Linked DNA regions of Oryzias latipes. The protein of the gene in region 1 purifies or fractionates together with the protein of each later gene. This does not show direct contact. Links are inferred from orthologs where the notes say so. Each region holds a gene or a part of one and is shown in the gene's direction. Other genes may lie near its edges.

What was found.
Region 2: the proteins of cbx5 (region 1) and znf462 purify together in Homo sapiens (affinity purification with mass spectrometry; 3 studies listed by BioGRID and IntAct, counting the BioPlex papers as one, with this or other methods). This does not show direct contact. The link is inferred for Oryzias latipes from reciprocal best matches to the Homo sapiens genes CBX5 and ZNF462.
Region 3: the proteins of cbx5 (region 1) and activity-dependent neuroprotector homeobox protein purify together in Homo sapiens (affinity purification with mass spectrometry; 4 studies listed by BioGRID and IntAct, with this or other methods). This does not show direct contact. The link is inferred for Oryzias latipes from reciprocal best matches to the Homo sapiens genes CBX5 and ADNP.

What each region holds. Positions count from the first base shown.
Region 1 is NC_019865.2:12,831,576-12,835,328, reverse strand, and holds the end of cbx5 (chromobox protein homolog 5), read left to right. Parts: intron 1-548; coding exon 549-649; intron 650-1,388; coding exon 1,389-1,530; 3' UTR 1,531-3,298; downstream 3,299-3,753. UniProt on the Homo sapiens protein: Component of heterochromatin that recognizes and binds histone H3 tails methylated at 'Lys-9' (H3K9me), leading to epigenetic repression. In contrast, it is excluded from chromatin when 'Tyr-41' of histone H3 is phosphorylated (H3Y41ph).
Region 2 is NC_019870.2:9,245,349-9,249,101, forward strand, and holds the start of znf462 (zinc finger protein 462), read left to right. Parts: upstream 1-927; 5' UTR 928-1,040; intron 1,041-3,753. UniProt on the Homo sapiens protein: Zinc finger nuclear factor involved in transcription by regulating chromatin structure and organization. Involved in the pluripotency and differentiation of embryonic stem cells by regulating SOX2, POU5F1/OCT4, and NANOG.
Region 3 is NC_019865.2:4,529,196-4,532,848, reverse strand, and holds part of activity-dependent neuroprotector homeobox protein, read left to right. Parts: intron 1-1,957; 5' UTR 1,958-1,962; coding exon 1,963-2,070; intron 2,071-3,062; coding exon 3,063-3,155; intron 3,156-3,248; coding exon 3,249-3,653.

The sequences.
Region 1 (3,753 bases):
ATAATTATTTATTTTTAGAAGATACAATTGTTGATATGTGCCAGTACACTTCACCATTGAGAAATCCACATGTCTTGATCTCGCATCCTGTTTTTGTGGCGTCCTGAAAATTACAAAAGGTCAATAAGTCAGGCGATCAACTAGTTGATGTGCATGTCAACATGCTCAATCTGTCTGTATGTGTTCAGTGCTTTACTTCTGTCATTTTGCACCTTGTACAAATAATCAGCCTTTTCAGCACAATTCTACATACAATCCAATAAAAGTAATATTTGGGGGGCTAAAAGAAACTAAAATCAATTAGACATGGATTAAAAAATTGTTTATAATACATAAACCAATAAGACATATTGAAAATGATTACCGCAAAAACAAGCAAAGTATTAATCTGTTTATACACAGAAGGAATTTCAATAAAATATCTGACGGCATTTGTCCAGTAGAGCAGTAAAGTGTAAATATGAGGTTAAAGCACAGAATCAAAAGACAAAAACAAACAGTTTTAAACATTTCCTCAGGTTTGAACTTTTTTTCTTTGTTTCTTACAGGAGGAAATTCTAGTAGCCCGTGGCTTTGAAAGAGGACTTGAGCCAGAGAAAATCATTGGAGCCACTGATTCATGCGGAGACTTAATGTTCCTCATGAAATGGTAAGTTTTGTTGTTGGGATGATGATGATTATGATGATCTGGTGTGAAATTGCTGCTCCGCTAGGTGCAATCACCACAGACTGTTTTACTGTTGACTGCAACATGGAAGGGAATGACTCTTAAAAAAAAAAGGCTTTTGACTGTGTCGGTTAACTGGGCAAATCACCCATTAGAAACTTCAGTAACCGGGCTGTCTGTCCATAGATGAACAGGAAGCCAAACCATAAAATTAATGTTATCTCTTATTACCTAGATGGATATACGCAGTGCACCATCACTCATGCCTGGTTCTGGACTCATATTTGAGTTGCAGACTTGATACTTTTACTTTGAATAAATTTACAAATCCATAAAAATAATCATGAATTTAGAATTGTTCTCATTTGCTATGATTTATAGAAAATTCTCTGTGATCAGTTTTAATCCTAGAGCGAAAGAACAAATAAAAACACCTGTGATGAAGTCTGACTATACCTTTGTTGCACCAGATGAAAAGTTTGTCTTGCCAACTTACCCATTTTATTTGGTTTTATGATAGAACACTTGATGCTGTCTCAATACATGGTTAAATTGCAGTGTAAATGAACCTCTTAGAAATATAACAGTGAAATGCCATTTCACAGAGACTAGGATAGAGTGCAACCGCCTACAGCTTGTTTATGAAATCCCACAATGCCTTATTTGGACTTAAGTTAGTGAAGTGTGGTGCAAAAATATTTCAAGCTTTACCCTCTTTTAGGAAAGATTCAGACGAGGCGGATCTTGTTCTTGCCAAGGAGGCCAATCATAAGTGTCCACAAATCGTCATAGCCTTCTACGAGGAGCGCCTCACCTGGCACGAAGACGGTGACAAGAAGGAGAAGGATGCTGTCAGTGCTTGAGTGCAACACCTCTGGAGGAAACCTCCACTGCAGGGAAAACATTCTGTTGGACTTTTTGTTTTCCTTCTCCCAAACTTCCATCCCTCACTTTGTCCAACAGTGAAACAAAAACAGTGCATCCCTTTTGTTGTTTTCTCCACTCATGCCTCATTGAGCACAAGGGCCCAGACTCTGTAAAGGATCCATCAAATAGAAAGCTGTTTGTTAGTGGACCTGGGTGATATGCTACTGGGCAATGTTTCTACTGTTTTTGTATTGATTTTTTTTTTTTTTGTAATATCTTAACATTTTTGTCTTTATCTTTTCCCTGTTTTTTAAAGTGCTTGCATAAAAATGTTACTAGGAAGAAATCTGGAGAAACTATTACTGGTGGCCATCTGTTAAAGTTGCAAATCCAGACCCAAGTACCAGATTTGACGGTTTAGGGGGGAATTCCCGATCCCCATCATTGTGTTGTAAACAGTGCACATCTTTTCTTTGACAGGAAAATGTTGAAGCTATTCACTTATCTTTCTTTTTTTACCCCTTTAGGCAGCAGATATCACACCTGATTCATTTTTAAACGTGTTTAATAATCGTTTTCCCCACTGTTTCTATTTTTTTTTTTTTTTTTAATATTTGTAACCGGTAATTTTTAACAGGGCCACTCTCACCAAACGCTCAAACATGTGCGATCATTTGATCATGACGTCTACTCTGCCATCAATTCTCTTTGTTGTAGTTTAATATTTTTGTTTCAGATTAAGGTAAGAAAAAAATCCTAAATATTTGTCCCAATGAGTAGATGTTGATCTGATGTTCAGGATTCCATTGATCATTCATCTTCCTGAAGCATTCATCTGTTTCATGTTTTGACATCCATCACCATAACATGCTTCAAAAGGGACATGATCACCTTCATGAAATTTAAATGTAAAAACTATGATAATTGTGAAAGCTGAATTAATGACATGGCAGCTGGATTGGCCTGCAGTTGAGAAGACTGGTGCACCTGTTTAGTCATGTAGGTGCACGTCTGTGTAGTGATGTATATTGGTTTTAATTTGTGCTGTTTCGTCAAATGATTGTTTTGCGGTTTTTTTCTTTCTGTTTTTTTTGACAGTGTTGCCAGAAGAAGAAAAAATACAATAAAGACATTTTTTTCTCCATTCTGTACTTTTAATCATATCCCAATCATTGTTTGAATGATTTTTTTTTTTTTTACTTTTAATTTGCATGAATTGTGTGATCTTGCGCCCTTTCAAAATAAAATTCAGCTAGCATTCAAAGGAGAAACTTAGCTGCCACTTTGATAACTGAAATTAATACTGTGGTCAACAATAAAGACTAGATTTATTTATTTGCATTTCTTTTTCCATGCTCCCCCTGCTAAAAAGCTTCAGTAGTTTTAATGAATTACAAAAAATATTGTTTGAATAGCTCCTTATCACCTGTTCATTAGTTTGAATTTTAAGGTGACTAACCCTGATAAATACATGGTTTGTTGTTGAAGATTGAAACTGGTTTTGCAGCCTGCAGAGAAGCATTGGACCAAATGTCTGCAGATTCACAGACTGCTTGTTTTTAACTGATAAGAAATGCTGTCATCTTCCTTTTGATACTACCCATACATTTCCTTGCCAGCACATTTTTTAATGTAAATATGGGTTTTATTTACCTTTTGACAATATACATTTTTTAAAGTCAGTAGTTTATTGTGTGAGAGAAATGTTCCAAGTATACATGTATAGTAGCATCCTTTAATAAACATTTTGAGTGTTTCAAGGTCTTCATGTGTTCACTTCGTTTTACAGTATAAATTACATTTTTCATAACATTACCCTGCAAACTGACAAAAATATATATATATACTTTATAGATTTAATGCAATTTTAGAATCACACATCAAAAACCTATTTACTGCCGTTTGTCAGCAGAGGGCAGTATTAACCAATTCCAACGCAAAAGTGTTTTTTTTTTTCTTCAGGTTCCAGTAGAATCATTGTGTGCAAAATGTGTACAATTTTTCTGTGAAACTTTTTATGGGCACATTTTGTGTTCTGACATTCACATGTTGCATGCAAACACGGCGCACACCCTGTAAAACATGTACAACTTAACACTGAAAGGCAGCCTTTCTTCTAAGGCGGCAAAGGAATCAGTGAGGAAACATGTCAAATTGGACAGCTAAGGTTTTGCCATTGATTTAATGCACATTATAGAAATAGTACAAAATCCACTTTA
Region 2 (3,753 bases), on another chromosome or scaffold:
AAAATCAAGCATTGCCACAAAAAACAATTTTAAATATGAATTAATAAAAAGAAAAAAAAGGCTCCAGACTATTAAGGAACTGCCTCATCAAACTTCCATGAATCCCAAATGAGACAGTGATCCCACATGATGTGATCCTGTCGTTGCTCAGTTGTGCAAGCCAGGTTGGCCATTCCTTTCCTCGCCATTCGGCCACCCAACCATGCATGCCCCCTTCTTGCTGCTCTGCCCCCCTCAGGCGCCCACATCTGAGCAGAACCCCACGCCTTTTGTGTTGGGGCCCCCTCTCTATATGTTTGCAGCTGCTGGACAACAGTCTGCAGCCATGGTGGTCACAACACACAAAATAAATGAGGAGAAAGATTGATTTAAATATTTATTACTTTATTTGAATTAAAAAAAGTATTGATGGAAAAAAATCTATCTATCTATCTATCTATCTATCTATCTATCTATCTATCTATCTATCTATCTATCTATCTATCTATCTATCTATCTATCTATCTATCTATCTATCTATCTATCTATCTATCTATCTATCTATCTATCTATCTATCTATCTATCTATCTATCTATCCAGTGATGGATGCATCTCCTCCAAAGTGAACTGCAGATAACCTCATGACGTAGCAACCATAGTATCAAGCCTATATAAAATTCGGTGTGGCCGCGCGCGTCTGCTGCTGCTTTGAGCCGCTCATAAGGCTTTGCAGATCATCTGACTTCAGTCTTGATGAAGGATGAGCTTCTCGGCCACAGACGTTGTCCATCCTGCTGATGCTCCCTCGTCTCGTCGTAAACTCTTGTGCACCCTCTGGTGCTTGCTAGTCTCCCAAACTTCTTTGTGTAGCCTGCTTTGCAGATTGTCTTCCTTGTCTGTGTGGTTGCTCATTATTCAGAGACAGACGGATCTCAGGTCATCTGCAGCTGCAGCAAAGGAGAAGCAGGAAAGATGGCGATCATCCATTAGACCGACCGGGCGCACGCATGAAATACGAGGACAACTTTCGGGAGGATCGCTTGAGGAGGAGATTGAAGCAGTGAGTTTGTTTTTATTGCCTCCGTTCTCGCTCTATTTCCAGTTTCGGCAAGATTTCGTCAAGGTCTGCGAGAACGTCGGGTTTGGTGGATCATGGGATTTAGCGTGGAGAGCGCCTCGTGAATGACCTGGAGCGCTTTAGCCGAGGTCCAGACGAGGAAGTCGGTGGGAGATTTTTCTAGCCGCTTTGACTGGCACCCATGCAGTCAGAGTCAAGTGGGTCTTCTCGCTTCCCCCTGATATCCTGACCCAACGGCTTCCTCGCTATGTCGCCTCTCTTGTTTGTTGTCAAAGTGACTCAAGGAAATGGACGGTGTTAGGAGGCTGTCTTCATCAGCGGGGGTTTGTTATGTCCGGCTAGGACAGGAGGGGGGGAATTACCGCGCGTCCCCTGTCCGGCTGGAGCACTAGCTTCATGAAGAAGCCGTTGAAGCAGACTCCATTAGCGACAGAGGAGCTGCTGTAGCCTCTGGTCCAGTCTCCATGAAAGCCTGTGTGAGGAAGCTACACCCCCTCCTCCCCCCATCTCTTTGATTTTTTTTCTTCTTCTTATTGAAACCTTATCCTCTAGCTTATTTGTTTATTTATTTATTTCTGACCACAGAGGCTAGGTGTCTCGTGAAGTCGCGCGCGCGCTTAGTCCGTCTTGCCTTTAAACGATTATCGCTAGCTTCTTCGTCCTCGTGGCTACATTTTGTGTGACCCCCCCCCCCCCCCCACACACACACAGACACACGCGCACGCGCCGTTCCTCGCGCGCTGCCTGCTCGCTGTCACAGCTCCCCAGTCAGGTACAACCACAGAGCTCCACCATAAAATGGAGGAAAGCAGATGAGTCTCCAAGGAGAACCTCAGGCAGGAGCACCCACAGCAGAACAAAGGTTCAGAAAAAAAGCGCGACCTCCTCCTCCTCTCCGTTCCTATCCTTCTGGGAAGTTCAACCCTCCCCAGGGAGCTCCTAAAATAAAAGTGGGGTACAAGTGTTTCCAAGCTTTATTTAAAAACAGGGATTCACATAGGTGAGTGGGGTTTGCCAGGTCTGGGCTGGAAAACCTTGGTGGCTGAAGGAACCTGGAGATGGGGCTGGAATTCTAATGTAGACCAGTGTTTTTTTGGCCACGAGGTGGTTAATGTTCAACCAAGTAGTGTCAACAGAACGCAGTCATCTGTCATGAGCATGCAAGGCTGAAGTAACAACTGCTCCTTTTGAGAAGTTCTCAAGAAGGTTCCCATTTTGTCTTGCATCTCCTTTAAAATTTCAAAATAAAAGCGGTTCTTCGGTATTGGTTTTCGTTTAGAGGTGCTGGTGCTTTTATTTTGATTTTTGAGTACTTTAAAAGTTATTTCGATCAATAGTATTAATTAGCGGTGTGTTGTAGTGCGCCCTGTGTCCACTGCAGTGAGGCGCTCACATGTTTAGTCCTGAAGGTGTCCAAGCCTGGCAGGGAAGTGAAGGAGGTGTTTGTGCATGCTGTGTGTGTGTGCGTGCGTGCACGTGCTCTGCAGTTCTCCTGGCCACTCTGTGAAATCTTGCTGACAAAGAGGCTGTGAGCTTGACACAGTGTGCTGCGACAATACCGGGGCTGGGAAGAGCAATCAAAATGGTGGCGGCGCTCCTTCCTCCTGCCTTAGCTGAGCAGACAGGTTCTCGAGGAGGAGCGGGGTGGAGGACAACCGATCAGGATTCTGCTGCAGCTGACACATTTGTCAGGCAGACAGTGGATCCAGTCTGCCGGCGGTTGTGCAAATGAGCTTTCAGATGTGGAAGTGATTGCTGCGTGCTGAGCTCTCTGCGTTCCTCCAGCTGCAGTAACTTTCACAAGTCTACCTCAACTCTGCGTGTCCTTGAAGCAGGTGCTCCATGAGATTCCAGGTTTTTTTGAGGGGTTAACCTCCTGGCTTTTGGGGACCTGAGGTCCTCCAGTTATGTGCACGAATGTTGCACATCTGTGTGGTAATATTTACCAAGGATGTGTAAAAGTCAAACGTCACACAGTCATAGACTTCTCAATCATTTATTTATATTATTAGAGATTAGTAACAGGCTATTACAAGCTAGTAGGCATTTATCTGCTATGTTTTTTATTATCCTAAATTGACCCTTTTTATCCTCTTTCTGATCATAAACTGTGTTTATTAATACTTTTCCTCTAAAAACATTGAGTTCAGCATTAATAGAGGTTGCTTATTGAGGTTTATGGATGCCAAAGGAGTTCCAGTTTGCATAAAGATGTGGTTTGAGTTGTTATGATTTGTGCGTTTTTCCTGCTTTGCTGTCTCTTCTGAAGTTTAACGCTTTGCCAATTCTTCTTTACTCCTCTGTTTATGGCCACTGTCAGAAGCCATTAAGTAACAATGTGATCTAATAGTTTTATTTCTATCGTCTTAAGCCTTAGTCCAACTGCCCTTTAGGGATAGATTGGGGGTAAAAAATGGGCAAACCTGCATGCGGCATACAGGTGGCCCGCATGAAATATCAAGGTTGTTGACCTCTCTGTGATCCTGTAAAGTGAAAATGTTCATGCACTCCTTTTTTCTACCGGCATGCTGCGAACAACAGTTTAAAGCAAAGACTTATACAACGCCCAAGGGTAAAGTCAGGCGGGAGTAGGTGAGACGCAGGTGTGTCTCCCCCCATGTCCTGTGCACAAGGGGGCATTGGTGCTGTTTACGTGATAAAGTGCCCAGCCTAGCAGTTTGTGTGGGCATCCTAC
Region 3 (3,653 bases), about 8.3 Mb from region 1:
ATGATTTGAGGTTCCAAAACTTTGAATGCATTAATATTCCTCTCTAAGGAGAACCAATAATAGGAGCTAACATCTAAAGTGACACAAACACTGGAATTAAACAAGTTACAGAAAAAAATGCAATAATTTAAAATACAATACCTTTTATGATAGATTTATAGATCATATTTGTATGCAGCAGATTTCTTCTCATTGGAATCAGATCACTGCTGTTGTTTTGGCTCGGAGCAGCAGGGTTGCAGAGAAAACTGCTTTTAAAGTGGACATGCATACAGTAGAGAGGGTATCGCTTCTCTTGTCTGCACAAAGAGTTAGCTATTCAACACTGAACTGAAATAGTGGCACCAGGTGAGGATGTTTCTCTTCGTTACAGCACAAGTAGACACTTCTTAATATTTAAAACTGATTTGTGTTTGCAAGAATTCAATGGCAAAAGGGGATTCTCAGCACCTTTCTTGTCTCAATTTAAAGTTATTTTATCCTAAATATTTATTCTCTTCCAACCTTTGTTCATCAACAATAAGCACAAACATCAATCTCAATGGGAAGCAGAAGCGTTATGACACATTCTGCAGTTTGTTACGGTTGTTTTGCTGAAGGGAGCTACTTTTGCTCAAACTCGAACTTTATATAGCGCCTTTCATTTCAGTTAAAAAACACAAAGCGCATGCTGTGCATGTCTGCCAGAATTGGTTGTCCAGCTCATGGAAAACTGAGCCCTATAAACCTGAGAATCTGGGTTTGGTATCAAGGTAAAACCTCTGTTAAAAACCCCACTTGCACAGCCAGTTGTGCAGCCAGTGGCTGTGCAGGTGGGTTTACAGGAACACTTTATGCTGTATGCAAATGATCTGCAGATTATTTAAAACCCTAATGCAAAGACTGCTGTGTCTGTGCGCACCTGCATGTTTGTGTGGGTTTATAAATATCTATGTGTGTACATACACATCCATGTACATAAAAAAAGCTTTAAACCAAGTTTGGATTCAAAAAATTGTAATCATTTATTTTCATCTGCAAAATACTATAAAGGAACATCAGAAAGTTCTAAATCTAATCGATGCAATGTTTGCTTTCAGAGCAGCATCATTTCTACCAGGCACACTTGCACACGGTTTCTGAAGGAACTTTGCTGGTTGCTCCAAATGTATTGGGAAACTAACTTCTTCAGAAGAGCTTGAACATCTTGAGCCCCAGTCTGCTTTGAAACCTTTGTCTGGGAGAGACCTTGCTTTTTTGCGGACACACTACCTCGTGTCTTTTTTTGCCATGAAAATGTCTTTCACAGCCTCTCCTCGGTAGCTGTTTGGCTGTTATTCTCTCAGTTTAAAGTCTTTTACACAGCGGTTTCTGTTTCGGTTCATGACTGGGTTTCAAGGTTTTGCGGATCTTCTGCACCCGTTCGGTATCATTTGTTGATCAGACACCTGACTGTAACCATACAAAACAGCTGACTTTGCAAAAGTGTCTCTAAAAGGTTTGATCATGACTGAAGGCAAAGGTAAAAACATCAAGAATTTATTTGATTTAGATTTTTCTTTCTCCTTTCAAAGCTGTGAATTTTGACCTAAATCTCATAAGTAGTTTATATGATATTTTTGACACAATCTGTGTCATTTAAAAGAAAACCTAAAAATTAACTTTGTATGTTTTCCCTGTTTCCTGTGAGCTGCCATAGCCCTGTTAAACACTTGCTTTAGCTTTCAGCGATTTTATTTATTTTTTTCTTTTGCTGCACTTGTGTTTATCAATCTCACACATTTTAACAAATTTCCTTTAAAAAAAAAGGTTCTTTTGCTGCACTTTTAATTAAAGGGTTTTACAAGTGGAGTAACTCATTCAATGACACATGTTAATTTAAAAACCTTTTCTCAGGAGTTGTTAAATAAAAAGCCTGTTTTATGTTTGAGACCTTGTGTGTTTCTGACGTCTCAATGAACGTTTCTCCCCCATGCAGGCAGAATGTTCCAGCTCCCTGTCAATAACCTCAGCAGTCTACGAAAAGCAAGAAAAAATGTCAAAAAGGTCCTGGGAGACATCGGCCTTGAGTTCTGCAAGGATCACTTGGAGGTGAGCATGCTCAGTTTGGACGTTCTATAACAAACTTCCGTGCTTTTGTCTACATAGTAGAAGGTCCCAGAGTTTCCTCTAGACTGTTGGTTGTGATCCTATATGGTTCGAAATTTAGTAAAGGATGCAGTTATGCTTTTTTATGAGTTGTGCAAGTTTGTCTTGCGTATTAACATGGCATCGTGTTTTTCGTCAGTCCTCTTTTTGGGGTTGTGTTTCTGCAAATTTGAGTAACACCTTGAACAGCCATTTAAAAAGAAACTCATCTTTCCTTAATATATTTAATACTATTTTGTTTTGTTTTTTAATATAAAGCTCTAATTCAAAAATGAAATTGTCTGAAAGTGGTGCACAAAAATAAAGGTATGATAAAATCCAATTTAATCCATAAAAGATGAGTGAGCAACATTGAAGGGTTTTGATTGTAATCCTTAGTCATTTTTAAAATAATACAATTATAGATGTTTGACACTGTCCTACACTTTAAAATGACAAAGAATGGTGTAAATATTTAAAGAAAAAACTGATGTTTTTTCCTTTTTAAGTTGTTGTACATTACTGTTGTTTTTTTGTTTTATACTGACACCTTTTTCAGTTAACTTTAAGATGCAACTCGTTCATAAAAATTCCTAATATCCTGTAATATGCAATGGATTCTAAAATGGGACTGTGCTGGCTGAAATGATTCAGACTCCTGGCAAATGACTAGAAGTAACATTTATTTAACCAGCAAGTTTGCTACTGTTTGTAATGACACAAGTGTCTCCCAGAAGGTCCCTGGATGAAATCCTAAAGGAATCAAAGCTTCCACTTACATTTAAACAAATGTCCAAAATTGTCATGGTTTGAATAGTTGCAGGTGTGACTGGAGCTGGATTTGTACTTTAGTATGTTTTAGATTATTATGTGTTTAGACACTGTAAGTTTGCACATATGTGCTATTTTTCTGTGGATCTGTATGAAATTATTATATCACTTTCTTTGCCTTTTAGGACTTTAAAGACTTTACTCCTCCGGAGGTCTATATCAAACACACAAGCTGGGAAGATGTGTGCATGTGGGAACCATCGCATACCAAAGTCCAGGTCTGTAACGACTCGCCACCAGAACCTTAAGAACTTTATTTCTGTTCAAGTTTTAAAAAACTAATAAAGACTTTTGAATTTTTGTGTCTCCAGGACTACAGATCAAAGCCTTTCTGCTGCTCTGGCTGCCTCTTTTCATCCAAGTACTTCTCGGCGTACAAGAGCCATTTTCGCAATGTTCACAGCGAGAACTTTGAGAACAACATCCTGCTCAACTGTCCCTACTGCACGTTCAACGGGAATAAAAAGACTCTGGAAACGCACATTAAACTCTTCCACATGCCCAACAACGCCGCGCGGCAGACCCCTGGTGGGATGGTGGCAGGCACGGGTGGGGTCATGATGAAGGATGGTCTGCTGAGGAGGACCGGAGACACTGTGGAGCAAGCGGTGTACTACTGTAAAAAGTGCACCTACAGAGACCCTTTGTACAATGTGGTACGAAAGCACATCTATCGGGAACACTTTCAGCAAGTGGCTCACCCCTATATCGTGAGA